Oryctolagus cuniculus: one gene and its partners. The protein of the gene in region 3 purifies or fractionates together with the protein of the main gene of each other region. This does not show direct contact. Links are inferred from orthologs where the notes say so. Each region holds a gene or a part of one and is shown on either strand. Other genes may lie near its edges. The genes, in order: NLRP3, WWP2, TXNIP and WWP1.

What was found.
Region 1: the proteins of TXNIP (region 3) and NLRP3 purify together in Homo sapiens (affinity purification with western blotting, with the first as the bait; 4 studies listed by BioGRID). This does not show direct contact. The link is inferred for Oryctolagus cuniculus from reciprocal best matches to the Homo sapiens genes TXNIP and NLRP3.
Region 2: the proteins of TXNIP (region 3) and WWP2 purify together in Homo sapiens (affinity purification with mass spectrometry; 3 studies listed by BioGRID and IntAct, with this or other methods). This does not show direct contact. The link is inferred for Oryctolagus cuniculus from reciprocal best matches to the Homo sapiens genes TXNIP and WWP2.
Region 4: the proteins of TXNIP (region 3) and WWP1 purify together in Homo sapiens (affinity purification with mass spectrometry; 4 studies listed by BioGRID and IntAct, counting the BioPlex papers as one, with this or other methods). This does not show direct contact. The link is inferred for Oryctolagus cuniculus from reciprocal best matches to the Homo sapiens genes TXNIP and WWP1.

Annotation. Positions count from the first base shown.
Region 1 is NC_091437.1:1,749,363-1,756,735, reverse strand, and holds part of NLRP3 (NACHT, LRR and PYD domains-containing protein 3), read right to left. Parts: coding exon 6,129-7,373; intron 3,487-6,128; coding exon 3,316-3,486; intron 1,660-3,315; coding exon 1,489-1,659; intron 1-1,488. UniProt on the Homo sapiens protein: Sensor component of the NLRP3 inflammasome, which mediates inflammasome activation in response to defects in membrane integrity, leading to secretion of inflammatory cytokines IL1B and IL18 and pyroptosis.
Region 2 is NC_091449.1:53,022,259-53,029,631, reverse strand, and holds part of WWP2 (NEDD4-like E3 ubiquitin-protein ligase WWP2), read right to left. Parts: intron 6,686-7,373; exon of another isoform or gene 6,484-6,685; intron 6,288-6,483; coding exon 6,233-6,287; intron 3,270-6,232; coding exon 3,188-3,269; intron 2,660-3,187; coding exon 2,531-2,659; intron 2,155-2,530; coding exon 2,079-2,154; intron 1,845-2,078; coding exon 1,773-1,844; intron 1,630-1,772; coding exon 1,541-1,629; intron 725-1,540; exon of another isoform or gene 663-724; intron 1-662. UniProt on the Homo sapiens protein: E3 ubiquitin-protein ligase which accepts ubiquitin from an E2 ubiquitin-conjugating enzyme in the form of a thioester and then directly transfers the ubiquitin to targeted substrates.
Region 3 is NC_091438.1:48,894,825-48,902,997, forward strand, and holds TXNIP (thioredoxin-interacting protein), read left to right. Parts: upstream 1-3,736; coding exon 3,737-3,986; exon of another isoform or gene 3,987-4,458; coding exon 4,459-4,531; exon of another isoform or gene 4,532-4,646; coding exon 4,647-4,794; exon of another isoform or gene 4,795-4,906; coding exon 4,907-5,009; exon of another isoform or gene 5,010-5,149; coding exon 5,150-5,406; exon of another isoform or gene 5,407-5,492; coding exon 5,493-5,649; exon of another isoform or gene 5,650-5,763; coding exon 5,764-5,915; exon of another isoform or gene 5,916-6,040; coding exon 6,041-6,076; 3' UTR 6,077-7,391; downstream 7,392-8,173. UniProt on the Homo sapiens protein: May act as an oxidative stress mediator by inhibiting thioredoxin activity or by limiting its bioavailability.
Region 4 is NC_091437.1:111,620,717-111,628,580, reverse strand, and holds the start of WWP1 (NEDD4-like E3 ubiquitin-protein ligase WWP1), read right to left. Parts: upstream 5,029-7,864; 5' UTR 4,652-5,028; intron 1-4,651. UniProt on the Homo sapiens protein: E3 ubiquitin-protein ligase which accepts ubiquitin from an E2 ubiquitin-conjugating enzyme in the form of a thioester and then directly transfers the ubiquitin to targeted substrates.

The DNA of each region.
Region 1 (7,373 bases), on a different chromosome or scaffold from region 3:
AAGCTTATGTCAATACTACATCTTACCAGCCGCTGCATTTAGTTTCATTATAGCAAAATACACATCATAAGATTCACCATTTTAACTATTCTGAAGGGCACAGCTCAGTGGCTTTATGAACCTTCCCGCCGTTGCGCAACCCTCACCACCATCTATCTGTACAATTCTTCTCATCTTGCAATACTGAAAGGCTGCACCCATTAAACACTAACTCCCCTTCCACCTCCCCCAGCCCCAAGCAACCTCCATCCTGCTTACTGTCCCTGCAACACTGGATGGTCTCAGAACTTCACGTAAGTGGAGTCACATGGCCTCTGTCCATTTTCATGTGGCTCGTCTCACTTGGCACTAGGTCCATCTGTGTCCCAGCAGAGGTCAGAATGCCTTTTAAAGCCACAGGACATGGGTGCCACTTCTTACATACATCAAGGCACAGCTGGGTTTCTTCTACCTCCTAGCCACTGTTGGTGCCACTGTAGGTGTGGGGATACAGATATGTGTCTCGGCTTCCAGTTCTGGTGTGCACTGACCTAGAAGTGGGATTGCTGGACAATGGCCATGCTCTCCTGTGGGAGGACCTGCCATGCTGTGCCCACCATGGCTGCACTGCTTCATGCCTCCCCCACAGTGCACAGTTTCCCTACATCCTTACCAACACTTGTTGGTTTCTTGTGAGTCTGCATTTATTTTATGAAAGTCATCCCAATGGGTGGAAATTGGCCCTTTCCAATACTGTCTTCTCCTTGAAATTCCAGTCTCAGGCAGATAGCTGGCACAGCAGTTAAGACAAGACTTGGATGTCCAGACCCCACATAGAATACTTAGGTTTGAGTCCTGCCTCTGCATCTGATTCTAGCTTCCTGCTAATGCACACCCTGAGAAGCAGCAGTGATGGCTGAAATACTTGGGTCCCTGCCACCCACATAGGAGATCCCTGTGTAGTTTTGTCTCCTGGCTTCAGCCTGGCCCAGCCTAGCTGCTTCAGGCATTTGGGGGAATGAACCAATGAGTGGAAGATCTTTCTTTCTTTTTTTTTCTTTTTTCTCTTTCTTTCTTTTTCTTTCTTTCTTTCTCTCTCTCTCCTTCCTTCCTTCCTTCCTTCCTTCCTTCCTTCCTTCCTCTCTCTCTCTCTTCCCCCCTCCGTCTCCCTCTCCTTCTCCCTCTCCCTCTCCCCCTACCTCTCCCTCTCCCCCTCCTTCTACCTCTCTCTCTCTCCCTCTCCTGTCTTTATTTATTTATAAATAAACTTTAAAGGTTCTGGCCTCTCAGAAGCATTAGAAGGGCAGCACCCCAGCATGGGGCACTCTGTGTGTGTGCAGAGGACCTGGGGGTGGTTCCAACTCTCCCATAAAGCAGCAACCTGCCCAGCACTGTTCAGCCAGGCTCCACCCACCGGAAAGGCAGGTATTACTCTATTTCTGTCTTTCCCTGGCACAGGGACAGCAGACTGAGACCCAGAGACCCGGGCACCTGGTGGTGCAGACTCACCAGAGCTTCTGCAGCTGGCAGGACAGGTGCCTCAGCCCCACACACAGCAGCCTGACCCCAAAGTCTCCCAGGGCGTTGTCACTCAGGTCCAGCTCCACCAGCTTCTGGCTGCCACTCAGGACCAGTGAGATGTCGAAGCAGCACTGGTGGGAGAGGCCACAGCGGCCCAGCCTTGGCGCCAAGCACAAAGCGTCAGCGTTAGTACCAGGCAGCGTTTGGGTCCCTGCCACCCACATAGGGTGGCACACCCTGCTCTCTCAAGGGCGCATCACCTGACCAGCGAGCTCACGAGCACAGTTCAGCAGCTCCCAGCCTGGGATCATGAGCATGGAGAGCACCCCTGCGTGATGGCCTGGCAGCAAAGAGCACCAGGTACACCACGACCCACCCCGGAGCTACCCAGGCCCAGGCCCGCACCATGCCCCTGGTGGGGTTGTGCCCAGCTACTTCTTGCCCTCATCGCACTGTGCTCCACCTCACTTAAAGTGCCCTGCAGCAGAAACTTAAGGAGCCGTCGCTGGTGATGAGGGACTTGTCAGAGGCCTCGGTTTGTTTTTCCCAAGGTTCATATGTGGAAATCCTGGTGCCCTTAAGAAGTGGAGGCACCTTTAAGAGTAGAGTCTACAGGGGAAGGTGAGGTCACCGTGGAGTGGCCCTCAGAAGGGACTAAGGTAGCTCTTGTGGAACCCACTTAGTTCCCAGGACAGTGAGCCCTTCTGACAGACCAAGCCACTTCAGTCTGTGCACTGGACTCCTAACTCAGATTCCCAACTCCCCCTCTGCGATCTCCCCTCTCTGTCTCACTGTGTTTCTCCCAGGGCCAGGGCCGTGCTGTCTGGATTTCACACTAGTGAAACTGTGAGCTAAGTGAGTTCCTTTCCTTCCTAAGTGCTCAGCCTCAGTCATTGCTGTAGCAATGGGAAAGTGTTGTGACCACACACACCCCAGTATGTGTGCGCCCCATGGGGCGAGAATGACACCACAGCCCCTCCCACGCCAGCGTCCACGGGGCCTGCACTTGCTGCACTCCTTCCTTCCCACCCCACCTCCAGGCCAACTACAAGCAAATGGACAAGGAGGCCTCCTCTGTCCCACAAACCCCACAGTGTCACTGGACTTCCTGCTGTGCCTTGCCCTCCGGGGACCTGCGGAGGACTCTTGTGGGGGTGATGGAGAGTATCACAGAGGCACATGGCTTCCAGATAAATAATGAATCTTTTTTTAAAGGAAAGAGAAAATCACATTTTGGTGTGTTCTAGTTCCTGTCCCCTTGTGGTGTGGCGAAGCTTTCCAGTCTGGGGCTCTGAGGGAGGCCAGAGAAAAGGGAACCTGCGGGGCCTGGCTCTCCTCCCCGCTGCCCTTCCTTCTCCCCTGCCAACGCTCCCAAGCACTTGGCCTCTGACCTGCTCTGCCTCCCCCTGCTCCTGTTCTGAGGCCCTTGCCCCCCTGACTTCAGAGCATGGCTGGGTTTGGAAACAGGGTCTCCAAGGAGGAAGTTAAGCCAAAGCAAGGTCCTCAGTGTGGGCCCCATTCACAGGAATGCAGGAAGAGTTCATGACGCAGATGCACAGGGATGACCCCTGAGGACACAGGGGAAGACAGCATCAAGGAGCCCACGAGCGAACCTCAGAGGCCACCAACCCTACGGGCCGTGGACTTGCCGCTCCCAGAGCTGTGAGGAAATAAGCTTCTGCTGTCCAATGTCCAAGCACCACCCCTGGGGCATTTTGTTTCCATGACAGCGTGGGAAGTTCCTGCGCCCTGATGCAGTCCCTAAGAGCCTTCTCCAGTCTCCCCTCTGTCAGCACTGCACACCCATGGGCTTACCAGAGTCTGCGAATGTTGCAGCCGGGATGCTGGAGCGCTTCACACAGGACCCTCATCCCAGGGTCTCCCAGGCTGTTGTCACTCAGGTCCAGTTCTGTCAGGCTTGGATTGGTACTTAGAACTGAGAAGAGGCCCCGGCAAAAGCTGGACGTGAGACAGGAGTTCACCAATCTAGCGGTCGAAGGAAGGAGAGCAAAGGAAATCAGGCTCCACAATAGAAACTGGCGCAGGGGCTGGGATACTTCCTAGGGTTAAGAAAGGGGTCATGAACCAAAGGCGATTCCTGGAGGGAGAAGGGGCTGAGGACATGAGAAGACCAGGCGGACACCTCATGATGGACGGAAGTGCAGCCTGAGGCTTGGCTGATCAAGAGGGCCTTCTGCTCCCTTTCTCCAGCTGTCCTGACCACAGCCCAGACACTATGGGAGACGTAGGGAGTCAGGTCCTCCTGTGAATGAGAGAGAGTGAGCCCACGGGGCTGACAGCCGCATCGCAGGTGCTGTCACCCGCAACACAGGTGCTGTCACAGGCACAAGGCTGGAATCTGCAGCAGGGCCGGCTTCTGCCAATGACTTTCCAACTCCAGGTCGCTCTCTGTGCAGTGACACTTGGACTCGCCCTCAGCTCTCGTTCACACGCATGTCTGATTCCATATCTAGGACTGGGTGTTGATTCTGCTGTGCTGACCAGGCCCCCTGAAGGTTCTGGGACCACTAAGCGAGGTCCAGGGGCCGAGAGTGGCTGCTGTCACCAGAACCCAGTGCTGAGTTTCTGCTCCGGGGATGCCACCAGCCTTCTCTGGGTGGGAGTTCTTGCTCAGGCTCCTGGCTGCTCCCCCACAGACCCAGGGCCGCCTCCTTTCCTGTCTGCCCACCTCTCCTTCCCCAGGGCTCTGGTCTGAATGTGGGGTCTCCAGAGGTCCTAGGTTGAAACTTTCACCCAGCACAGTGCTGTGTGCTGTGGTTGGGGGCTGGGCTCCTGGGGGTGACGAGGCTGAGGGTGGAGCCCTCGTGAGCAGGATCAGGGCCTTTGCAAGAGGAAGCCCAGAGATGCCCCGCCCTTCACTTTGTGAGGACGTGGCTGGAGGCCGCCACGTGGGAACGGCACCCTCCCCTGCCAGGAACCACCACGCGGACGCTTCACTCAGGCTGGGCGCAGGCGCAAGGCAGCGAGCAGCCCCATGGTCGGCTCTGTCTCCAGCAGGTCTGAATTCCTGGCCGTCTCGGAAATGGGCCTGCTTCCCATCCCTGTCCCTGAACGCTACTCCGTTCACCATGGCAGGACCCGGTCCTTCCCGGCCGCGGTGGGCCGGAGGGCATCCGGGCAGCCTGAAAGAGCGGGAACTCACCACTGCCGGCAGAAAGACCCAGTTCCCTCTTGGTCCTGTCCCAGCCTCGTGTGAAGATTGACACACTGGCGCCTTCTACCGCTGGGCGCCCAGTGCAGACCGCGGGCAGCCACAACACCCAGGCAGCAGAGCCCGGCGCTCCTCCCCGAGCCTAGGATGGCGGGTTCCAGAACCTTCGCGTCTCACCACAGTGGGGCAGGGACGGACCGACCTGACTGAGCTTTCCCACACCCGGCACCCCTCAGCATCCACAGCGTTGAAAACCAGCGAGGGGTGCACGTCCCCCGATCTCTCTCGGAAGGCTCGTTCCCAGGTGCCCAGGTCCCAAAGCACTGCCCACCCTCCCAAGCTCTCGCCTTCCTGGGCTGCCCCTCACTGCCCTCAGGTCTCAGGGCAGCTCGGGTCCCTCTCCCCTGAGACTCTGGGCCTAGGGCTGTCTTACCCGGTGCGGCCAGCTGCACAGCCTGCCCCTCAGAAGCCCTCACACGGATGGCCCTAGGTCTTGGACTCCCGCCTCTGTGATCAGAGACCACATCTCTGCCCTACACTACGTAGGCCCAGCAGTCCTGATCTTACTGCTGGAGCCTGGCACAGAGCCCCAAGCAGATCACCAGAGGCTGGAGTGTGTGTGAAATCCCACATCCCAGCTAACCTCTGTGAGAAACCAGCATCCCCAAACATTTGCTGACTGCTTTACTCTTTCGGGGGGTTGTTTCTTACTCATCTCATCTATCTGCCAATCATGAGTCAATGGGTCCGATGAAGAGATCTGGCAGGGATGGGGGGCATTGTTTTGTGCCTGTGGAAACTGCGATTGGAAGACAACTGAACAGGGAGAGCAGGAGCAGCCATTTAGCTCAGTGGTTAAGATACCCATGTCCCATGGGGAGGGAGCCATGCAGTGGGTGAAGCTGCAGCTTGGGTTGCTGCATCCAGCTTCCTGTTAATGCTTCCTGGAGGTAGTGGATTGAGTCCCTGCAACCCACACAGGAGACCAGGAGTTCCAGGCTCCTGGCTTTGGCTCCTGTTGCAGGCATTTGGAGAGTGAACCAACAGATGGAAGATCTCTCTCCCACGATCTCTGCCTTTCAAGTAGATGAAAATGCATAAAGAAAAATTATCTAAAAGATGCCCACATCCCATATCAGAGTGCTTGAGTTCAAGTCCCTTCTCCGGCTCCTGGCTCCAGCTTCCTGCCAGTGCAGACCTGGGAAGGCAGCAGCAATGGCTCCAGGTGACTGGGTCCCTACCACCCACATGGGAGACCTGGATTGTGTTCCTGACTCCTGGCTCCAGCTCCAGCCCAGCCTTGGATGTTGCAGGTTAGGGAGTAAACCAGTGGACGGGAGCTGTCTCTCTGCCTTTCAAATATATAAGAAAATAAAAGAGGAGAGGAAGTGAGTACAAGAACAAGGTGCAGCAGCAGACGCTTACTCTACCCATGGCTGCAGATGAGCTGGCTTACCTCCATGAGCAGGCGGCATGAGGGCCCTGGCGGTTGGGGCAGCCCACATCAAAGAGTGGACTTTCCACCTCCTCTTCCTCCTCCTCCTCTTCTTCCTCCTTGGGTGAATTATGCAGAAACCCCAGTGAAAGTGATTCTACGCTGTGACAGTTTCCAATGCAGAAAGAGGACACCACGTGGTCCATGCGGGTGGAGAGGTTGATCTCGATTCTGGGGAAGTGGCCCATGGCCTCCCGCACAAAGGCCTCCTCCTGCATCTCATACAGGCAGTAGAACAGCTCCAGCTGGCTTGGCTGTATCTGCAGCTTCTTGGCGTTGGCTTTTGTCTCGATCCACCGCAGCAGCTCTGGCCGAACTTGCTGGGAGATCTTGCAGCTCAGCTTCTTCTCCAGGTAGGAGGCCCTCTCCTGATTCACAAGGCCGAAGAGGAAACGCACAACGAAAATCAGATACCCCTTTTCGAATTTGCCATAGTTTTCGAGAAGGACCCTCACATCTCGGTGTGGGAGGTCCAAGCCCCTTGCCGGCGGGCTCCTCCCTGTGCCTGCCCCCTCCTCCTTCTCCTCCTCCTCCTCCTCCAGCACATAGTACATGGCGGCAAAGAACTCCTGGAAGGTCAAGTGGACGAAGCTGTAGAAGGCCTCGCAGTCCACCTCCTTCTGGAACAGGCTCATCCTCAGGAAGGCAGACACTTCTGCCTCCTGCAGGCCGTGCCTCCTCAGGTCACGCTCCTCAAACAGGATTTTCTGGTTCCAGATGCCATCAGCAGCCAAGGAGCAGAGACCCCGGAGGTGGCCAGAGAGGCGTTGCTCCTGGCTGCCTCCGCGGGACTGCAGCAAGCTGGACAGGAAGAATGTGTACACAGCTGTGGTGGTCTTGGAGGTGGTGGTCTTGGCCCTGTGCTTGCCGCCCTGCATCTGCTGCTTCAGCCCTGTGCACACGATCCAGCACACCAGTGGGATGCAGCACATGCTGAGCAGGACCTCATTCTCCTGGAGGAGGCTGAAGGCCTCCCTGGCCTGCGCCTCCTCCAGGAAGTACTTGAAGAAATACTCCTTCCGCCGGGCCTCGGAGAAGCCCAGCACCTCCACGTGGCGGGGGCGGTCCAGGAGGTGCTGCAGCTTCTCCAGAGCCACGGGCCTGGTGGTGATGAGCAGTGAGGCCTCGGGGAGCAGCTTCTTCCTGATGAGGCTGCCCAGGAGGACATCCCCCCGCACGGCCACCCTCCAGTCACTGCACAGCGCC
Region 2 (7,373 bases), on a different chromosome or scaffold from region 3:
GCACAGACCTAGGTGAGCCGAAGGCGTAGAGCTATGGGAGCCAGGACAGTGCGCACTTGAGGAGGATGCCCAGGAAGACCTGCCCGTGGGCTTGGCAGCTCCCGGGTAATGCACGCCAGGACTTTACATGCCAGCATTCAGAGCTTGTACCCTGGGCCACCGGGCACAGTTGTGTGAGCTGTGCACTGCACAAGGGCACTATATGAGAGTATCATAGATGGCCGCATTTTAGGACAATCTTCCTGCAAAGGTGCCATGTGAACAGCAGCCACCTGTTGCCCTCCCTCGCCGGGCAGGCAGCAGAACGCGGCTGACTACGTGGTAACATGTTCCCACGCCCTGACCGTGCAGACCCTGCAACCCTGCTGCCTCCAGCCTGCAGACCCCAGCCCCGGCAGCAGCTCACCACCCGTGCACTCCGCCCTTCCCGCACTCCAGACCCCTCACCGTTCCCTTCCCCACACCGCGCTCTCGTGAGACCCAACACCCACGCTTTGGCATCTATTCGCATCCTAGGTACAAGCCTCAAGCCAGAGTTCTGAGTCCTCCTGGGCTTGGGCTATGCTGGCAGGGGCCATCCCGGGGGGCCGGTCCCTGGCTGCTGGGCGGATGTGGCTGGGCAGACGAGGAGTCCTTCGACGCAGAGGGTGCCCCAGTATCCTGTCCGTGGTTCTACCCTGTGGTAGAACAGCATGACGTAACCTACCATAGGGTAAAACCACTGGCAGGACACAGAGAGAGAGACACAGGCAGGAGCCACACCAGAAGCCCACCAAGCAGAGCCTGGAGAGAGGTCACCACAGGAGAAAGAGCAGTCCGTCCGCGGGGGCCGATGCAGAAGGCAACGCCAGCAGCGAACAGGGGCGCAGAACCGAGGAACCCAACACCAAGCGAAGACATCCCCGCACCGGGAGAGGTCAGCGGGCCGAGAGCGCACCGCCACCGGGACGCTCCTCCTCTCTGCCAGGGCCCCTCCGCCTCACTGTCCCAGGCAGCCTCTGCCCAGAGGGCCTGGGGACTCTGTGGTGCACAGGCTGCGGCCAAGCAACACTGTGGCAACGTTCGGCGACTCCAGGCACGTGACATGCAGCTGAGGAGCCAGCGAGGCCCTGTGAGTGCGAGTGTGACACGGCTCATCCCCCAGGCACGCCCATCAGGACGACTGACAGCACCTGCCCTGGTGCCTCAGGAGGAAGTGAAGCCTGGGGTCAGAGGGTGACAGTGCCATGGCCCCAGGGCTCAGCCACTGCCCACTGACACTGCTGCGCTGATGGGTAACGTATAGAAGCAAGGTCACACTGGTTCCTAAGAGAGCCCCTGCCCTGAGCCCCTGCCCTGAGCCCCCCAGCCTCCTCAGGACCCGATATGCAAAGTGTTAACACCCGGCCCAGCAGGGACTCCAGGACCCAGCTTCACCCAGCGCCCATCTGGACCAGCCTTGGGGATTAGATGTTTGTCACCCCACACCCACCGTGGCAATGAATCTGAACGAGGGAAGCCGCGGGCTGGCAGCCGGGGCGGCGGCGACGCCTGAGCTCACCTGGCGATGCCTCCGTAGTCCAGGCCCTCCTCGCCACGCATGATGATGTAGAGCCGGCGGCGCAGGTCGTAGGGCTTCATGTTCATGATCTGGGGAGACAGAGCATCGTGGCCCGCCTGCCACTCACCCTTCCACGGCAGGAAGGGGTAGGAGGGATCTCAGGCCCGCCCCCTCCACAGACACGGCCCCCAGGCTCATGGTCATAACCTGGGCACCGGGCTGATTCTCTAACCTGCTGGAAAGAATCCTCAAAAAGGGTCTGCCTGGAGACGCTGATCTTCACGTGGCTGGGCAGGGCATTGGACTGGGAAGAGAAGAGAACGCCGCACACTGAGGCCTCCGGGTGACCGGCCTACCTGGTGCGCACCTGCCAGGGTAGGCGGCCCGGCCCCGAGGCTGTCACGTGAGAGCCTGGCCCCGTGGGGACAACCAGCTGTGGTGGCACACGCGCAGTCCTGTGCCCACGCTGGGCTGGGGAAGGAGGCTGAAGTGACTCGATGCCCCCACCTGCCGCGGGAGTCCCGGGAGCACAACTCACGTGGCAGAGGAAGCGGAACTGGTGATACTTCCACCGGAAGCTTCGGTCGTAGGCACCAGGGGAGCCTTGCTTCGTCCTGGAAAGGAAAGGTGTTCCGGAAGCCAGGTGAGCTCTCGGGAACTGAGCGACCTGTCTCCATTAGCCCAGCAAAGCTGATGCCGTGTTAACTTAAAGGCGAGGAGTAAGGAATAGGAGAGAAGGGACTGCCAGTGAGGCCTCTGAAAAGCCAAAAAACAGAATCCAGAAACGACGACAGAGTCCTGCTCTGACAAACACCAGGCAGCCAAAGGCGGGGAGAGCCCTTGCTGCCCGCGGCCTTCAGCTTGCCATCAGCACTGGCCGCTAGGGGGCAGTAAGCAGCAGAGCACGTCTAGGGGTCCCCACTCCGTCCAGCAGTGGGCCTCCCGGAGCCCGCGTTGACGGGACACTGCTGGGCGTCCTGACATCCTTACCCCGACTCAAACCCTGGCCGAGGATCCTTAAAGGTGGTGGTGCGGGTGTTGTGGTCCACGAAGTACCGCACGCCCTCGCTGGTATACTTCATCTCCCAGCCCGGCGGCAGTGCCGGCTCCTGGATCATCCTGCAAACAGGAGGGACGGGGTGAAGGCCAGGCCCCGCATTCCGGGCCCCAGTGCACAGGAGGCCGGGGTCTCCCAAGTGCTGCTTTGTCTCTGCTTTCACCCAGTGCTACACAGCCCTTGGGGGTACAAGGGGGATTTAGGATATGCACTTGGCATGATCCAAGTCATGGGTGTAAAGAAGCCATCTTCTATCCCAAGGCCAAAAATCCAGCCCCGGGTGGACGGCGGTGGCTGAGTGCCCAGGCCCTGCACGTTGGCAGTGCTGGATGGACGTACCCACAACCTCTTTGTGATCAAGTTCTCAGCAGCCAGTACCAGCGGCATACAGACCAGCGACAACCGCCAGCGGAAAGGTCTACTTCAGGGACCACTTCCAAGCTCTCAGAGGCTGACACTAGATGGGGAGATGTGTGTGGCTAAAGGTCCCCAGCAGGAGCCCTGCAGGACAAAGTGGTCCAAGGCCACTTGGCCAATGCTGGAGCTGCACACAGGCCCAGCCCAGCCCCCTTCACTCCCAAAACCCTTACCCCTGGGTCCGAGGGTCTTCCCACTGGGTCGTGCGTGTATTATGGTTCACGTAATACACCCGGCCATTGTCCTGTCTCTTCTCTGCCATGGGAGAAGAAAAGAGAGGGAACAATTAAAATCCAGCAGCTTGAGCTGGGGCCATCCCGCAGCCCCGGCTCCTGGGTGCTGCGTCTGCTTTCCTGTCCGACACCAGCCTGCTGGAGAAGCGGACCCGGCCACTGGGAGACAGCACAGAATGGTCCTTCCCTGGTTGGGGTTGGGGCAGGGGCACGGACACACACACTGCAAGGGGAAGAATCCCGCACCTCTCTGGTTGTTTGCTTTGTCAGAGGAAGGGGGGCGGTGTGGCGACACAGAGGGGGCAGCCGGCTGAATCCAGGCATAATTGCATCCAGCTGTGGCAGCAGGGACGCCCTCAGCCCCAGGCCCTGCCCCACCCCGAGGCTGGCGCAGGCGGGTAATCCATCCACTCCAGGCAAGTGGGAGAGAAAACGAGGGGCCAAGGCCCCAGACCCAAAGGTGGTCACCTTTCCAGGAAAGTCCTGGGTTTCAAATCTGTTTCCATCCTGAAAACAAGGGATGTGGATGGTTCTGCCCCTTTCACAGTGAAACGCGAGGGAAGAAGTCGGACAATCCTCCCTCCCCAGAAGCTAAGGGGCACACGCGGGGGACCAGCAGCCCCCACTCAAGAATCGGGCTGCAATGGTCCCAGCGCCAAGCCAAGGGCTGATCCCTCTTTGCCTTATCTGCTCTCTCCTACTCAACTAGAATGTCCCAAGCACAAGCACTATTTATCAATCACACTCTAATAAAGCTGGAAAAACAAGTAACATAAAAATAAAAACAGGCAAGGAAGCACAGGAGGTGCAGGGAGCTGCGGCAGAGCTGCCGAGGCGGCGTGCAACTGACCTGCAGGGGAAGCTGCCCGAGAGGGTCCTGCCCGCCCGGGAGCCCCTGCTCCGAACTGTACGCCCTAGGGCCGCTCTGCTGAGGACTGAGTGGAGCCTAGCGGGGGTCTGGCCCGGCTGTCCAAGCCCTGGGCCGTTTTCCTGGCACTGCACAAATGCTGCCATGACACCTCTCCTGGCCCACAGAGCTGCCTGCGGGAGCTGGGGCAGTCTCCAGAGAGTGCCGAGCTCAACCTCACTTTCAGGAGCAGGCGGGCCGGGGCGGATTTAGCCACGAGCGAGCAGCAGCAGACGGATCTAAACCTGAGGCATCCCAGCTCCCACGGCAGTGCCTGGGACAACCATGGGTCCCAGGAGCTGAGTGCCGGAGGAACGCCGGCAGACCGACAGCATGCTCGCCACCAGTGCCGGCTCCTTTGGCCCCGCTGCCCTTCCTGCTCGTCCTTTCCCATCCCTGGGGAGGCGGCCTCCCCCACAGCCCTGGGGAAGCAACACAGAGGAAAGCCCCCGGCCTTTGGGCAAAGAGTTCTGTTTCCCGGCTGTGCACCAGTACAGTCTTATGGGTCTTTTCCGATCGCTGGCAAACAGCAGTGATTCGGCTTATGGCTTCCCTATTCTCATCTCAAATATTTTCCCTCTGAGCATCTGGGAGTTGTTTTCCAGACTCTTTAGTGGCTCTCACTTGGTGACCATCGTTCAGAACTGGCACCGAAATAAACTCACTTGACCGGGCTACACTACCTGCTTCTACAGAATCAGAAACAAACTCCAGTCCCCCAGTTTTAGGTCACCGACTACCAAATGGCATAACGGATTCTTGTTTAACCCGGCACGCTTTCCCCATGGCTGGTTTAGGTAGCGATCCCAAGTGTTTACCCTTTTACATCTGACTTACTACTAATCTCCAAGGTACCTACGGGCTCTTGTGGGCCCGAGAAGCCAGGCAAGGCCAACTATGTGCATAGGGATTCCCTAGACAGAAGTCCAGAAGCGTGTAGAAGCCTCAAGAGCTGATATTTTGCACTGGAAGAACAAGAAGGTCCCTTGAGCACTTTGGAATGCAGTGGCAATTCACCACCTGACACCCAGCAGGTCCACGGGGGCTGACACAACGTCTTCAGTTCCTACCGGGAGCAGCGGCTTCTGCTCCGAGATCGCGTGCTTCCCCAGGCTGTGCCCGTCAATCCATCCTCAGCTCACACACTTCCCCACCTCTGCTGCTCAGAGATGCTCCAGCTAGGCTCATGCCGCCTATGAACACCAGCAAGCCAACGTCTCCTGTCTTCTCCTGGCCCAACCAATAAATCAAACCCAGCACATGCTGAGTCCTTTGAAAACTGCCCTCTGGCTCCCAGGGGCTCTTGCAAGATTGAACAACAACAAAATCCCGGCCCGGCTCAGAGCTGCAGGCTGTGCCACGTCTCACCACCTCTGATGGCCCCCGCGTACACGCCGCCTCTTCTCAGGACAGCCATAAAGACCACGATCTCTCCTGAGTCACGAGTGCCAGCCCCTTCAAGCACCGTGGGCGGGTGGCACCTAGGCACCTGGGACCGGGACTCTAAGAGGTGGCCGCAGCGGCAGGAGCCCCCGGCCTGGCACCGCAACTCGCAGTGGTGCACTTTCAGAGGGTTCTGCTCCCTCATCTGCTTCCCTGCGGCCTCTTCACTGCGTGCCACAGACAAAAAGGCTTCCGCTACTCAAAGCGAGCTGCAGCCCTCCGACATCTCAGCTGCAAACAAGGGTTATTAGGGTAGCTCCTGCCAACCGTACGGTCCCAGCCGAAACAAACCCGTTTGGGAATCAGAGTCAAAATCTCTGAGTGACAGGACGGATTACTGAGTAGACACCTTGAAACTCAAGAGCCTGGCGCGCGGCCCCACAGCAGGTCGGGTGCGCCCGTCTTGGGTTCACTCTCCTACAGCTGTGCCAGGTAAACGCCACGGTGGCCTGGGGGAGCTCAATTTCCATCGCAGCCTCCCAGGTCCACCACGGGCCGCCGCCCTGGCTGTGCATCCCTAGAGTGGGCTGCAGAGAAGCGAACGGGCAAGCGAGGCACGGGAGGGAGGGAGGGAGCCACGCGGGAGAAGAGGCCAGAGTGGCGGCCAGCGTCCAGGCACTGAGCTCCGTACTTACCCCAGCCAGGAGGGAGGGGGCCCAGGGGATCATGGTCAATCGAAGCGCTTGAAGACTAAACACAAGAAACAGCAGAACACAGAGGTTAAAAAAAGCCACTGGTTAAAAATAAATGGATAAAAATAAAAACACCAACTACGCGTTTCCACGTTAGTGCTTTGTGGGGGGTGCAGCAGGCCGTAGGTGGCATCTGCTCCTCACAAAAGTCTTGTTAAAAAAAAAAAAAAAAGGTAGAAAACCCAAATAGGAACCTGTGCACAGAGGGCCCGGACGTGTCTGGGGAAGGGCGGAGCAAGCGGGAGAAAGAGGTCTGTGCAGGACGGTGGGCCCGGGCAGCTGAGGCAGCAGCCGGCCCAGGCATGGCGGCCGGGCTCGGGAGCAGGGCTACGCAGCCAGCAGCTGAGGGCCTCTGCTCAGCTCCTGCTCGCGCGGCCAAGGCGACTGAAATCACCACCACCTCCAACTTTCTCCAAGAACCACACACGGGAGGGGGAAAATATCGCAGGCCTTTCCAATGAAATCATTCCCACAAGCCCGGCCCACGCCCAGAGCTTCCTGGCGGGGGCCGGCCTCCTCCCTCCCTCCTGTGCAGCACCCACCCGGACTGAGGGCACATTCATGCCCCGGGCCCCTCACCTCCCCCATGCCTGTTTGCCTTCCCCTGCACAAAGCACCTTTATTCTCCCCCCCTCGCCTGAACCTGAAGTCGCTCAGTGTTCTCTGTTTGCCCGTCTGGGGAGGTGGGGCTGGGGGCTGGGTGGCGAGAGAGAAGGGGAGAAGGAGAAAGAAGGGGGGGACAGGCTACAGGACGCCAGGGTCACTGTTTACACTAGAATCCCCCTGCAGCCTAATTCTGCCGCTGGGTCCCAGGGGAAGGGCTGCAGGGGACAGAGCGCTCTCGCAGCCTGCGGGGAAGGGGCTGCTGTCAGAAACCGCGGCCTCCATAAAACAAGCATTGTTCTGCTCCTTCATTCGTTCCCGGGCTGGTGGCTTTTTTTTTTTTTCCTGAAGCATTTTTATTTCACTTACTAAAATTTAATCATCATATTAGGGGATCAAGTTTTAAATGCAGACTTGAGGCTGCTGGGCCGGCCCCGCCTGAGGGTGCCGGAGCCACACACGGGCAGGCGCGTGAATGGAG
Region 3 (8,173 bases):
GGTTGTCCCTGAATACTTGAGGCAGCAACTTCCTAGCAGTTAAACAAGACAACAAACAGGATATATCCAAAACGTGTTTATTGGGAAGGTTTCCCACTCATCTTGGCGCAGGGTGCATGGCTGAAAACCATGATGATTTTACAGCATCCTGGGCACTTCACGTCCATGAAGTAGGAATCGGGGCTCTGCACCAGGCGCTTCTTCTTGTGTTTCCTCTTCTCCTCTTCAGGAGAGGGATGCAGGAGATCCTTTGCGAGAGGCATGTTCGCATGGGTCGGTCGTCACCGCCGGAAAGTAACACATTCTTATTTATCTATGACTTGGATCTACATACGAGGTACATCAAAAATTCATGGAAAATTGAAATAAAACACAAATTTATCTTGAAGCAAACAGTTTTGGAATCTATGCTTACCACACAGGCAGTTTTAAAATTTCACACTCTCATTCAAACCCTTGTTTACCACTAAACCATTTCTTAAGGAAAAATTGGGAGAGTTGGATAAAAGTAAAAGGAAAGATTACAGACTGGAGGTGGCAGAAATGATTAAAAGGATGAAGAAAAGCGTTTGTTTGCCTCAGGAGCTGTACAGCTGTTGAGCTCTGAATGTTTGTCAGGCTAGAGGTTAAAAAAAGGAGAAATGCAATCAGAGCCTTGCCCCTGGCTGGCAATGCAGTGCTGAGGGCATTTCCTTCCCTCTGTGAGCGCTCTGGCTCTAGTCTATGATCTACAGTAAAGCAAATAAACAATCACCAGTTGGCTTCCTATTGGCACTAGGGTGCGGAGGGGTGGAGATGGGCAGGTAAGGATGATCTAACTTGAAAAACTCCCGGATAGAGCCCTACTTTACTGATCTTCCTGGGCCTATCCTTTTTTTCTCATAAAACACAAGTGTTTGTACCCTGGTTTCAGAACAGGAGTTTACAAGATTTTTTTTCTTCCTTTGACCCAAGAACTAAGGAAAAAAGAATGGGGGAGCAGGTTTTTTATCAGAATACCGAGTTATAAGGTGAAAGGTTGTAAACAACTCTGTCCAGGAGGCCTCCATTTCAGAACATGCCTTGGCTCCAGGCCTGGTAGTGCTGCGGCTGCTGCTGCTGCTGCGGCCGCTGCTGCCAAAACAGTCTCTTGGCATTCAAGGGAACTTGGGCACAACACAGAGCAAACAAGTGGTCTGTACTGAGCTCTGCAAAATGGGAAGACTGAAGAAACTGGAGCCTCAGAGAAACAGAACGAGAGAGACTTGCCATAGGATTTTTAACATTTAACAATTCAGACCTTATACACATGTCCTTATAAATACATTATCAGCATTCCCTTGTCTCTAATATGTACCAATTCAATACCATTCTGATCCATTACTAAAATCTTTCCCTCCTCCTATTCCCTCATAATTTATGTGTTTACATATTGTAAATATACCAATGTTGAGTCATCTGTTTCGTTGTAATCAATGTTTCATATTTATATATACTTTCATACTGAACTAAAAGTACTCCAGGAAGCCACAATTTTTAACTTTCAAAATTTAGAGTCTCAACTACTCTGTCCCCAGTAACTCAGTCAACAGTGTTGACCAACTCAAAACAAATCAAGCCTAGTTGGTTAACTTTCTAGAACAGGGCGCCACCTCAAACCCACACACCCTAAGGATCAACATGTTCCTGGGGTTTGATACAGTATGTGTATGTGTGTTTCAACACAGTTTTCATGTCTGACTCTTGAGCTTGCTTAATACTGGGGTTGAGTTGTAACTTGCTAGCCTCAGGGTGTCAACCCAATTAAGGTGTATGAGGAAGGAACAGCAGTGAATAGCGTTCTTTTTGCTGAAAGGGTAGGATTTCTACACACTCACGGGCTTCTTATTTACTTCCTCGTCTAAAGCTTGGGGACATTATCTTCCTCTTTCCAGCCTAAGAAATGAGGTAACGTTCTCGTGACATCCCAACAGATATATGAGGGTTCTGTGAATCAAAGAAAAGAGAACTCCAGTTCTGCATACAAGTTGTTGTTATCACATTTAAGAACAAGTTCTCAGGAGTTAGCTCCCAAGGCATTTTACATTTAGCAGGGAAAACCCCACCTGACAGCCAACTGAAATCAACACAAAATGAAATTGGGGCTCCCTTTAGCTTGCCCTGTGCCCTGTGACCACCCTTCTTTCTCTTTCTCTTCTGATTTCCAAAAGCTTGCGAGGGTGAGGGATGAGGGGAACCACTTAAAACACAGGAAATTGTTCCTTCCAACAGGGGTATGGCTAGCTCTACACCGACACTTCTATTATGGCGATCTTTCTTGCTTTTCACCAGCGTGAGCGCTGCGTGGGGCAACAGATTTATGGAGGTGCCTTTGATTTCGTAGGCTGGAGGAGTAGATGAAGAGCAGAGCGAAAGTAGCTTATGAAGAAAGGGAAGCGTGAAGCATCCTTTCTTTCCCCCATTTTATTTTTCTTTCCTGGAGAAGCAGGGAGGGAGAGTTTATCAGAGACTGATGGCCATACCTCATTAGACCGGTAATGAGGTAAGCAGGGAACACAAAGTGTTCCCCGACCCTGCAGGTAGAAACTGAGGAGACGAGGGGATAAGCAACAGGATGTGCACACGCCCTGTTTCCGTTCCAGAGAACAGAGAGAACAGAAAGGAGGGTACACGCGACCAGGAACAGCCTAGCCCACGGTCCTAGAGCCCCCCGGGGCGGGAGAGGGTCGGAGCGGGCACCTCCCACCCATACACCGACGTCCAGAAGAGACTGAAGAGGGATCAGAATTAGTGACTTTTCGTCAGAGACAGCAGCTTTTGTTTTTTCATTAAAGATGCGGCGCCAAGAGGAGAGAGGGGGACTTTCTGAACAGTAGTAACAGCCGCACTCTCTGCCCTCTGTCCCAATCCTTAGGTATTCCTGGAGCAAAGGGATTCATTTTCACAGACTTGCGACTTGGGCGCCAGGAGTAAACACTCGCCTCTAAATTAACTGCACTGGCTAAGACTAGGCATGAAATTCCCTCATAAGCACTTTTTCCTTTTACCACAAAAAGCCGCGGCCAGACCAGAAGCGTCCACACCCGCCCTCCAAAGCCCACTTGCCCTACTAGGCTTCAGGGCAATAGGGACCCTCCTCCCAGCCGGCCCGAGAGAAACCGCTAGGACGCCCACCACCCTCTCAGCCCCCCTCGCTCCTCCGCCCCCTCCTCCCTGCGCCGCCGCGCCGCCGTGCACAACAACCATTTTCCCCGCCAGGAGCACACCGTGTCCACGCGCCGCTGTGAGCTCTCTGATTGGGCAGGCTCCTGGTAAACAAGGACAGGCAACCAATGAGAGCGCTGTGCACGAGGGCAGCACGAGCTCCTAGGCCGGCGCTCGCGTGGCTCCGCCAGCCCCACAACTATATAGAGCGGTTTCCGGCTCGCGGTAGAAACCTTTCTCTGCTCTTTTCACATGGGGTGCTGTTAGCCTCCCCGGCGAGAGCGCTCCTCCAGCTGTTAGGGAAAAATAAGAAAAGAACTTGGTTTTTTTTTTTTGAAATCTCTTGGCAGCTTAGAAAATTCTGGACACCTTTTCTAAAATTTAATTAAGATTCATCTGTTGCTTGTGTTTTATTTTGTGTTTAAACACAGCCTGCCTAAGGACACTCTTATTCCTTAGGAGGAGTGAAATAACTTACTGCAAAGAAGTTTGGATTTGGGGCTGTGGGTACCCCGTGCCTCATTTTTGACTTGGGCGTCAACTCTGCCCCATCATGGTGATGTTCAAGAAGATCAAGTCTTTTGAGGTGGTCTTCAACGACCCCGAGAAAGTGTATGGCAGTGGGGAGAAGGTGGCCGGCCGGGTGATAGTGGAGGTGTGCGAAGTCACTCGGGTCAAAGCCGTCAGGATCCTGGCTTGCGGAGTGGCTAAAGTCCTCTGGATGCAGGGGTCCCAGCAGTGCAAACAGAGCTTGGACTACCTGCGCTACGAAGACACCCTCCTCCTGGAGGACCAGCCCACAGGTAAGCGGCCTGGCTCCTCGCTGGAGGTTAGAGGCTGGTTGTGGAAGAGAATTGAGTAAGTGGAGCAGATACGTAATGTTTTAAGTTCCTTGATTTGGTTTGGTTTAGTTTTTTGTTTTGTTTTGGGAACACCCCCCACACCCTCCAGAAAGGGTGGTCTGTACAGTTTTGGGGGGATTCTGTGCTGTGGAGGTGATAGGGAGGGTATTCCCCCCCATGTTTAAAGATGTCTGTGTGCATAAATTGCTTATTCTTGGCTTGCTTGCTGTTGGACATGTTAGTAGGGTAACTGTCCTGCCTCTCTACATTGGAGGACTTTGCAACAAAATGCATCAGTCTCTCATTGAAGAATACAAGGGATGAAAATGGGAGTACTAAGATACCTTGCATGCTGCCTGAATGTCCCTTATCACACAGGTGCATTTTAGTGTAACATAAAACCTAATGGTTCCTTGCTTTTCTCTCTCTCCAGGTGAGAATGAGATGGTGATCATGAGACCTGGAAACAAATATGAGTACAAGTTCGGCTTTGAGCTTCCCGAAGGGTAGGCATTAGCTACATGCATCTTTGGGCTCTTCTAACAATCTCCCCCTCCTCTGATATCTTAACTGTTCTTGGGGAGCTTTTTAAAAATAATTGTTTACTTTTTCCTGACACAGGCCCCTGGGAACATCCTTCAAAGGAAAATATGGTTGTGTAGACTACTGGGTGAAGGCTTTTCTTGATCGCCCCAGCCAGCCAACTCAAGAAACAAAGAAACGCTTTGAAGTGATGGACCTTGTGGATGTCAATACCCCGGATTTAATGGTGAGGCTCATTTTAAGAGTCAGTTCTCTTGGGTCACAGGAGTGGTACCTAATTATATTAGGTGTTCTATTGAGGCATCTTAAAACAGCTTTTTCCCTCCCCTTCTCCATAGGCACCTGTGTCTGCTAAAAAGGAGAAGAAAGTTTCCTGCATGTTCATTCCTGATGGGCGAGTGTCTGTCTCTGCTCGAATTGACAGAAAAGGATTCTGTGAAGGTAAAAACCTAATACTCAGAATGGGTAGAAGAGTACAACAGAAATGTGGGTGTGGCTGCAGGACATGGGATGGGACAGAGGAAGCATCTGAGATGGTGCTGAGGATCAGTTGATAATGTTGCCTTCCTTCTCGTGGCTAGGTGATGACATTTCCATCCACGCTGATTTTGAGAATACATGTTCCCGCATCGTGGTCCCCAAAGCGGCCATCGTGGCCCGCCACACTTACCTTGCCAATGGCCAGACGAAGGTGCTGACTGAGAAGTTGTCATCAGTCAGAGGCAATCATATCATCTCAGGGACATGTGCATCATGGCGTGGCAAGAGCCTTCGGGTGCAGAAAATCAGGCCTTCCATCCTGGGCTGCAACATCCTTCGAGTGGAATATTCCTTACTGGTGAGTAGGGTGGCTCCTGATGATGTGCTCCAGCAGTCATGTGTTCCCTAGACCTCTTGTCTAATAAACGGTCATCTTCCTTTTAGATCTACATTAGTGTCCCTGGCTCCAAAAAAGTCGTCCTTGACTTACCGCTGGTCATAGGGAGCAGGTCAGGTCTGAGCAGCCGGACGTCCAGCATGGCCAGCCGAACCAGCTCTGAAATGAGTTGGATAGATTTGAACATCCCAGATACCCCAGAAGGTGAGCAAACTCCAGTGTCTTCTCCTCCCCTCTGCTCTGCTTGGGTTTGTAAAATGGCTGTCACCCAGTGTTATTTTTGGTCAGGCTGCTTACCCCCCTGTTTCTTTTTTCTAGCACCCCCTTGCTATATGGATGTTATTCCTGAAGATCACCGTTTGGAGAGTCCCACCACTCCTCTGCTGGATGATGTGGATGGCGCTCAAGACAGTCCTATTTTCATGTATGCTCCTGAGTTCAAGTTCATGCCACCACCCACTTACACAGAGGTGAGAACTGTCATTTGTACTGTTCATTTGTTCTGAGGCCTCTGTAGGAAATTGACTTGGAGTGTTACACAGGTTCTTTATAGTTCTTACACATACTGAAATGATCTCTTCTTTCTTGCTCCCAGGTGGATCCCTGCATCCTCAACAACAATGTGCAGTGAACACGTGGAAGAAGAGCAGCTGTACCCACTTGTTTCTTTCTGCCTCTCTTCCTGGACTGGTTTTTCAGAGACTTAGTCTCTGCACTGGGGTGTGGGTCCTCCCCAGCCTCTGACCTCCTAATGTAGGAGGTGATCAGCAGGCAGTCTCTTGGGCCTTAAAGGTGCAGACTCGTCGTCAGCCAGCACAATGTAATACAGGAGTGTTTGCTGGGTGGGTTCGAAAAGACAGTTCCGAGTGATTCAGGCCCAGCCTGTTTTCTCAGCTGTTCTTGAGGCATTTCACTAATTGAGTCAGGGATGTAAATGGCCTTTTGGTGAGGTCTTCCCAAGGTGGTTTTGGGAGAGACAATAGTTCGTTGTAACAACATGAGACCTTGAACTAACGTGCCATGTGAGATGGAGTCATTTTTTTAGCAAAGTGGCAAAATGAAAAGAATCATGGCCAAAACTTTGGGAAGAGGAGGTTCTTAAAATCAGTGTTTCCCTTTTTCCTTTAATGGGAAATAAAGAAAAACCCTGCAAGGCTGGTTTGGTTTGAGCTTTGGAGAGAACTTCCCTGTGAATTAAAAGAAGCTGCTGTAAGGTTATCTTTGCTTAGAATGTACTTTTACCTGGCTTAAAGCAGTAGTAACTATGCTCCACCAAAGGTCTTAAAAGCCATTTTTAGAGCCTATTGCACTGTGACTCCTATGGAAACATTTTCTTATAGGAGAATGTTTTTCTTTTTATGTGACTCCTTGGAATTGATTCTAAGGTGATACTCTTAGCACTTTAGTTCTGTCAAACATTTTTTTTCTTCTCATTGCAAATTAAGCTACAACTGATCTATGTCTCTAGGGATAAGCACAATGGCCAAAAAAAAAAAAAAAAAAAAAAGTTAGAGACTGTGTCCCAGTGTACAGAATGACATGATTCTGACACTCTAATCCTATGAAAAGGTTGCTGTTTTATAAAACCTTGCCCACTGTGACTCTCCAAACCTAAGGTGGAACTCTGTATCAGAGGGCCTCCAGACACTGCCATGAGAAACTGGAGGGCAAGTCTTCACTCAGGTCCTCTGCACCCTTAGCGTTTGGTCAGTCCGCATCAGCCATAGCACTTTGTTCGCTGTCCTGTGTCAGAGCACTGAGCGCCACCCTTTTCTGAGAAATACAGCCAGAAAGTATGTGAGCTGAAGGTGTTTTCACTTTGTGTTTTTGTATTTTAATTGTGTATCTTTTTGTATGATAAAATCTATATTTTGTATGTAACCAAATATATTTTTCACCCCAGGTGGGGCATTTGTAAAAAATAAAAAATTTTTAATGGCAAAAAAGTGTTTTTCTTCTTGTCTGTGATTCAGCATTGGAGCAGTTCTTAGAAGGCATCCTGAAACAACTTTCCCCCACTTCACAAAAAACTCCCCCAAAACTTGTGGAGAGAACACTCGCTGTTGATCCTGAAGTCTGGGGGGGCTTGGGGATGTGAAGAGAGAAGGAATTTGAACAAGTCTGGTCTTCCCAATTTACAAAGAACTGTAATGGGAACTGCTGGTGGGCTAAGCTAGTTGACGCATCCGTAGCTAATCATTACTCAGTTCATGAATTGCTGAAATTCGGGGATACAAGGTTTATGAGGAGATTGGGAAGGAAAGGGTCGAGGTTTTTCTTTTTCATAACGGTTTCATCATAGGGTTTCTTCCCAGTATAAACCTGGTATACTTAGTTTATGTACTGACAAGAATAACTAAGACTTCTAAGAGCTTACTTAGAAGTATCAAAATCGTTGGAAGCAGCTACTTTTTTTTTTTTTTAATTTCTGTAGTTTGTAGCCTGGTTTCTGGCCAAGCATACAATATAACCCAGTAAATGTTTGCTGAATACACAACCCTACGCTCAATTAGGATATGCCTTGGCAGTTTCTATGTCTTCCTTAGGGGTGTAACAACAGGCTGATCTCGTGATTTCACTTTAATTGATTTTTGAGAAATTCTGAGATGGCAGAGGGTAACACATAATACTTGGTGATTTAGATCTTCTGACACAGGTGCAGTTCTGACCATTACTTTGTTTTTTTATGGATTTCCACATACCAATTCCTAATACTGGGCTCCCAGAG
Region 4 (7,864 bases), on a different chromosome or scaffold from region 3:
GTTTTCATTGAAACACAAATGGCGTTTGAAATTAAGCAGTTCAAAAGTTTAACACATTTCAAAGAAATAAATCCAAAATTTTCACATATAGCCTTCAACTAACATCCCATCACAGATGAAGAGTCAGAAGCTTAGTGGGAAAAGAATATTGACCTAGGAACAAAAACATACATTTTAGTTCTAGTTCTAATTTTTGCCTCAAACTAGTCATATTCCCTGGAAACTTAACTTCTTTTTAACTTATGTTGAGCCTCAGTGTATTCATCTAAAAATCAATGATGATCTCCGGACATACCTAGTTCTCAACTGCCATGAGAATCAAATGATAGAGTATATGAAGCCATTATAAAATATATACAGCCATTATGAAAATACATAAAATGTGGCCAGCGCCGCGGCTCACTAGGCTAATCCTCCGCCTTGCGGCGCCAGCACACCGGGTTCTAGTCCCGGTCGGGGCACCAGATTCTTTCCCGATTGCCCCTCTTCCAGGCCAGCTCTCTGCTGTGGCCCAGGAAGGCAGTGGAGGATGGCCCAGGTGCTTGGGCCCTGCACCCCATGGGAGACCAGGAGAAGCACCTGGCTCCTGCCATCGGATCAGCGGGGTGCGCCGGCCGCAGCGCGCCAGCCGTGGCGGCCATTGGAGGGTGAACCAACGGCAAAAGGAAGACCTTTCTCTCTGTCTCTCTCTCTCACTGTCCACTCTGCCTGTCAAAAAAAAAAAAAAATACATAAAATGCTATGCTAATGAAGGAAATAGTCTCTTAATGCCAGCAAAGAGTGAAATTCAGCTGTGAATGTGTTTCTGTCAGACAAGTTTTTCTTCATTAAACATTAGTAACTAGTTCTTTGGACACTAGTACAAGGTTAATTTATCAGGTTTTCCACTGCTAATTATCACATAATATTTTTCTGCAGAGTTAAACAGACCAGTCTTCCCAATAACTAGGGAATCAAAGTTTCCAGAACTATAACAGACAACAAACAATAACATGCCGTGGTTTCCTACCAGAGAGACAAAACAGTTACAAAAATGTCAACTGTTCACTTATCAAAATGTGCTTTAACCATAATAGTAAGAGACAGCTACTTAATCCTTTTTTAAAAATTACTGAATAGGAATTCTCATTTCATTTGTTCTGTAAAGTTTCCATTTTCAATTGCTTCGGGCTTCCTGAATGATTGAAAGGAGTATTCATAAGTAAGGCATATAGGAACAGAAAGATTAGAAAGTCCTTAAAGTTTATTTCATTTACATCACCTCCCTCTCCCTTCCCAAGCTGAGAGATATCAGGACAATAGTTATCAAGATGATCAGTGTGCTAATGCTACCTGCTCTCCCTCCACCAATTCATTCCTCAGACCTACCAGCTTTCAGGCAAAGAGAAAACAAGCGTACAGATATTACAATGAAAATCTAAGACTAAAGAATCTAAAAATGTTCAGAGCTGGAAGGGTCATTTCCTGGGATCAATTAGTCCTTACTGATGAGGTCACTTAAAGCAGTAAGTATTTCCAAGTAATGGTAAATTTGCTGTACTATCTGAATACAAGAAAGAAAACCATCTTTGTCACCCCACTCCTGATTCCACTTCACCCACCAGCAACTCTAAGGCAAATCATTTATACTCTTGGCTACTTTGTTCTATAAAATAACAAGAGACAGTATAAAATCTCTGCAAACTGTCAACCACAACACAAGCATAACACTATGTCTCTAGGTTTATACACAGTTTATCTCTACAGTAGGTCTTCTTTTCAGTGAATGGAAGAATCTGAAGCTTCTGCTATTTTAAAAAGCTCCCAGAAGCCCCCAGCCCAACTGACTGGCCAAGGGGGTTTCATGAATGAGCTTCAGGTGGTCCATGGACTCCCCTAAAATTATATCCATAAGGCATACAAGAGTACTTCAAAAATAAAATTAAAAATAATGTGAAGTAGGTGCTTGGCCTACTACTTAAGCCATCAGTTAGGACACCCACATCCCATATCACAGTGCCTGGGTTCAAGTCCCAGCTCCACTCTGATTTCAGTTCTGTTAATGCCTCTGGGAGGCAGCAGGTGATGGCTCAAGTGGCTGGGTCCCTACCACCTCCATAGGGGACCTGGATTAAATTCCTGACTCCCAGTTTCCACCTGGCCCAGCCTGCAGCTGCAAACATTGGGGAAATGAACCAGCAACTGAGAGCGGTGTCTCTCAAAAGAAATTAAAAATAAATGCACATTTTCCAAACTCTTTGAAGAGTCCTCACTGTGCCTCTGGAAGTCTTCCAGGCTAGCAGCTTTTTTAGTTAGGATTAATAAACAGCAAAAAGTTGTAAAGTAACTCACAAACACTGAGGGTCAAGTCTACAAGGATCTTGCTCAAAATGGTCCTATTCCTCCAATCTACCTGGATCCCTCTCAAATTCTGGCTATTCTATTTCCTTTTTCCTTTCCAATCCTATTACCAAAACAGCTTAGAGCCTCCCCACCTACAATTAAGACAATCAGGAAGTGTTCCTACTTCCAGGATCTCTAGTCCTCCACTCATACAAGCTGCTACCAGATTAAGCCTCTTAAAACAATAGTCTAAAATTGTTTCACTCCCAACTTAAAAATTATCTTCGGAGCCCTCAATGCTTAGGAAATTCAAGGTCATTAGCATGGCATTAAAAACAATCCACAACTAGTCCCAAGCCTTTACCAAAGCTTTATCACCCTTTATCCTAGTACAAAAACTCTGTGTTCCATTTAACCATAATTACGTGCCTCTTCCCAGATGTATGAACTTGGTGCCCTCTCAGATTCTTCTCTTTGCTTGGATTATCTTTCCCTGTCTATCCAATGTCAGTCATTCTTCAAAACTAAGATTTAGAAAGCCAGAAGTTCTCCTAACTAACTGCACCTTTCCAGAGGATCGCAACTCTACCACTTCTGAATTTAAATTCTGGTTGGATTTTTGTATCATTATGAAACTTTACTATATATTAAAAGACAAACGGGGCATTTGTGTGTATTATTCGCAGGACTGGGGACAGAAATTGTTAATTATTCTTTGTATTCCCCAAAATACCTCATGCAGTAGATGCTAAATAACTGTGCAAGGAAGGAAAAGAAATGTCAATCGTCCTGGGGTAAACAGCAAAGATTACAATCTCTTTGAAGGCAGAGACCTTATCTATGACATCCTCTATCATGTTAGTCTTCCAAAAAACAAGCATTGTAAGGACTGCTTTTCAAAACGATGGTGTTGTGGGTCTTACAAGCAGTTCTTCACTTTATGGGAAAAACACTTTGAAATGTTTGTAAGCTATGTTCCAAAGAACTATTCCACACATTTCACACTTTTCAGTTCAAGTAGCTCCCAACTCTTGGCCACTAACATCTTCAACTTAAAAATATTAACTATTTATGAAAAATAATAATTTCCAGTAACACAATATACTGCTTTATGGCTAAAAACAAGTCACATAAATAAAAGAATGCCTTTATTTTTTAAAACCTGATTTTTTGCTTGCATAATACACAGACTTGATGAGACAGGTAAAAATGGATTTAAACATAAGCATGAACTCTTGTAGAAACCTGCAGACAGCTATAAACCAGGTGTTTCAGGTAAAAATATTAAAGAGGAGAGGGGGAAGAAAGATAACTTCGGACATTAGCTTTTGCTACTATGACCATTAGCATCTTAAAGCAAAAACTCCAATCTTTATGCATATGAGCCTACACACAAAAAAGATTAAAATCTTTCCAAATAAAAAAAGGAAAACTAAAGCAAGCCCTTACAAAATATTCTGTCTTTAAGGAGTAAAAACATCAAATTTATACATAGATAACTACTGTTTTTTTGGTGTGTGTTTTTTGTTTTTGCTTTTTGGAAACGAAGCTCTCACGTAATTACCGGAGCAAAAGAAAGTCAACTCCACATCCACGGAGTAAAGAAAAGCTCTGCACAGTCCTTGTGCATATGAGGCTGGCAATTTAAATGTTGTAAAAGCAATGGACAAAGTATCAATTTAAATTTACCACCACCACTACCACCCCTCAAAAAAAAAAAAAAAGATTAAAGAAGGGGATTGAAGTCACACGTGAGGCTGGGACTGGCAAAATCTGCAAGGTCACTGAGATCTACCAGGTCACAAAAGGTAGAGGTGGGGGTTGTGTTGGGGGGGGGGGTGGCTGCGGAATCAGTGGAAAAGCCAGATTTAAAAAAAAAAAAAAAAGCACGTCAGAAAGAGACGTTCTGAGACTGGAGTCCTTGGTTTGGGACGGCGGAAGGGGGTGAAAGTCAGGGCACGGGCAGGGAGTCCGTGCTTTGAGGGAGGTGTGAGGCAGAAACGTAGAAGCAGCAGACGAGAAGGCGAAGGGAACGGGGAACTGCGGCTGCAGAGTCACGGAAACACTTCGCCCCGCTCCAGGATCATTCGCCCAGGCCTGTGCCAGGGCCAACTCCGGGCAAGACCCGTGACCCAAGCCCAGAAAACTCCAGGCCCCCCGGGCTGGAGAAGGCAGACACGGCGGCGCGAACTGTCCCCCGACGGCCCCGAGAGAGAGAGAGAGAGAGAGAGAGAGAGAGTCCCGCCCGGGGGCGGTCGGCGCCGGACTCCCCACACCGCGGCCGAGGCTCCGGGCCCGCGCCCCGCGCCCCCCGCCCCGGCGTCCTTACCCTGCGCGAAGCTGCCGGCGCCCGGCAGCGGACGGCCACAGCTGCGGCGCCTCCTCCCGCGGCGGGCGCCCTCAACCTTCCGCGCCTAAGATCGCCATCTCGCAGCAGGCGCGGCGGCGGCGGCGGCAGCGGCAGCGGCAGCCACCCAGGCGTCGGCCCCGGCAGCCCAGGCCGCCTGCAGCCACTCGAAACCCGCACGCCGCGTTTGCCGACACCCGACCCTCCCCCCACCCCCACCCCGGCCACGCGCCACCCCCGAGTCGACCCCACACCTCCCTTCCTCGGGAGCACGCCGCGTGCCCGCGTCACCGGCGCCGCGCCCAGAGCGCGCGCCCCCTCCACCCGCCCGGGCACCGCGCTACGCAGCGGCCACCTAAAGACTCCAACTCCGGAGCCGGAATCCGGCGGATTTGCGAGCATGCGCAGCAAGGGCACCCCCGCCGCCTTTAGAAGGGCCACTCCTCCGGGTCTTCTGAGCGATCGACTCGTGTGGGGGGGCGGGGGCGGGCCAGCCAATAGGGGAAGGGGGCGTGGCCTGGACCTGTGAAAGGGGTGGGGCTTCCGCAGAGGTTTGGGAAGAGGCTTTAAGCCAGTGCTAGGTACTGCTGACTTGACTTTCCGGTACTCGGCCCAACCTGCGCGTGACCTCAAGCAGGCTCCTTAGGGCACTGGCGTCCTTTTTTACGAACGCCTTACAGCGAAAGCAGGCTGTTAATAAAGTCTGCTTGACCTAGCTGAGTGCTTGACTTAGAGCCCGTTGCCAAAGTACATGCATTTAGAAGATAGACATACCAGAAGACTTGCAATTTCTGTATATTGGTAATCAAAACGTTCACAACCCACCCCTGCCCACGTCAGCCCAGTGATAAAGCTAATACATGTTGAACAAGAGTATGTGTCAGCGCAATTAGTCCCCATAACAGTCTCATCAGGTAGCGTCTATTATTTCCATCATTCACGCCGAGTCAGCCTGTTTAGGGAAGTGCCCGTGTATTGCTTTTAGAAGGCCGAGCAAATACAAGTGAGTAAGGGCCACATTACTCATGCATGAATTTCTCGAGTGTTTGCCCAAACACCTCACCTACCCCAACAAATTACCTACGTCCACACTCTCAGAGGCTTGGTGTCCCTGCTACTCTCCCAAGCGAACCTGCGCTCTGCTCCCTCTCGGGACCCTTCCTGGCACTTCTCTAACCTCACCTGTTAGCATAACCATGTTTTAAGACTTTTCTCACCTAAACTTTCCATTGACTTTAAAACTCCCTTCCTGCTCTCTCTTCTTTTGTCACAACAGAGCTTTTCGTAGAGTGGCAGTGTCATTGTTGATGCCACTCCACGAATATTTGTGGGATCCAATAAATACCTCCTGGTGGGACACATGCACATTTCCTTCCACTCCGGGGCAGGAGTGCTGACCTCTGCCTTCACACCTGAATTTGGTCCCCATTGAATCCCCGAAGATCATTCTGAATGCCCGTCTGAGCTCGTCGCTCACCCCGCTGCTTCATTCTTTGGCTCTTCCTAGCTTTCCTGAGGAAGGTTACCGCGATAGTCAAGCCCCTTTTCATGCTCATATACTCTGTTCCTCCTCTTAGGAAAAACTCCTTCCGCTTCCCTGAATGTACTCACTCATCTCTGTGCTTTAACCACGATGTCCTCTGATTTGCCCTCTTCGTTTTGCGTAACAGTCCCTTTAAATAGATGTCACCACGAATTTGCAACTCACCGCCCCCCCCCCCACCCGCCAACCCACCCAGCAATTCCCTAAGAATTCCCAGCAAGATCTGCCCTCCTCCAGAGTGCATGCTGGCTTCCTTCTGCTTCCTGCTCTTCTCTGTCTCACGTTCAGCTCCCCCAGTTGCTCAGTTTCCCACTCAGCTTGTTTCTGTACAGAAGCGCCTAGAGTTCATCTAGCCCACTAAATTGATACCCAGTAGTGAACCATTTTTCTTTCATTATGGAATGTTCCTTTGGTTTCCAATGCACACTGTTATATATATATATATATATATATATATATATGTTTTCCCAAGTCATTATCTATGTCCTTATTTGTTGTCATAGGTTACTTCTTACAAAGTGATTGAAAATATGAACAAGTTTAGTCCTTTTGTAACTAATTGACAAGTTGACTTCTAGGAAGAGCATGTGTCCAAATGTCACATTACCTGTGATCAAAACAGCTCTGCCAACCTAACTTTCAGGACCCGGGGCACTTTTACCTTTGTGGGCCTCTTCCTCCATGAAATAATATTGTAAATTATATTAATATTACAAGTTGTGCTTCCGCACTGCTTTGGTATAAAGACAATTATATTACTATTACACATTAACATATTTTCTTTGACCTAAACGTTTATATTTTTTTATCTCCTAGTTTTAATAGAAATTAGAATTTTTTTATGGGCTGTGCAAGTATTGTGAGCCTGTGGCACTGTGCCTGCTAGGCTTAATGGATAAGCCAACCCTGTTGTCGCCTACAAACTATGAGATTAGCCCAAGTTACTTAATCTGATTATACCTCAGCTAGAAAATTGATATAATACTGCCACATGATATTGTAAAAAAAAAAAAAGAGGCTTGCTATAAGTAAAATACTTGAGTTACATAACATATATTGAAGATACATTAATCAATAAATTACTATTGTTATAATTGTTGACATCAGTTTTCCCACAGAACCATAAATGTGCTTCCTCATTGTGCCCAAGTCATTATGGTATATTTTCAAATGTGTAAACAATATTGGTCAGTTAGCTGCCCATTTTCTTATCAGAAGATTCACAAAATGGCACATTATAAAAATGTAGACATTGACCATAGGTGAAACTGTAGGTCTTCTCCGCTTTTGTTTTCTGTTTTATTTCACATATCTTTTCCCATCCTGAGATCATAATTTATCTGCCTTTACTTTTGCCCTACTTGTTTGACAATTCCCTTTTTTCAATAAATAATTTAATTATTTAGGATTTATTTTGGACTGTTGTTCTATCTTTTCTCTTCATAGCTCGTGGTATTGTATTTCCCAGCCAACTTATTAAAGAATCTTTCTGTATCTGTAGTTGCTATAAAATATCTCCATAAATGTGTTGCTATTCTCCTCCTCACAAAGTGGGACCTAATTCTCTCCCTAGAGGGTGTGGGCTATAGTTAGAGATTTGCCTCTAACAGACAGAATGTGGCAGAAGTGTCAGTGTGTCACTTCCAAGACAA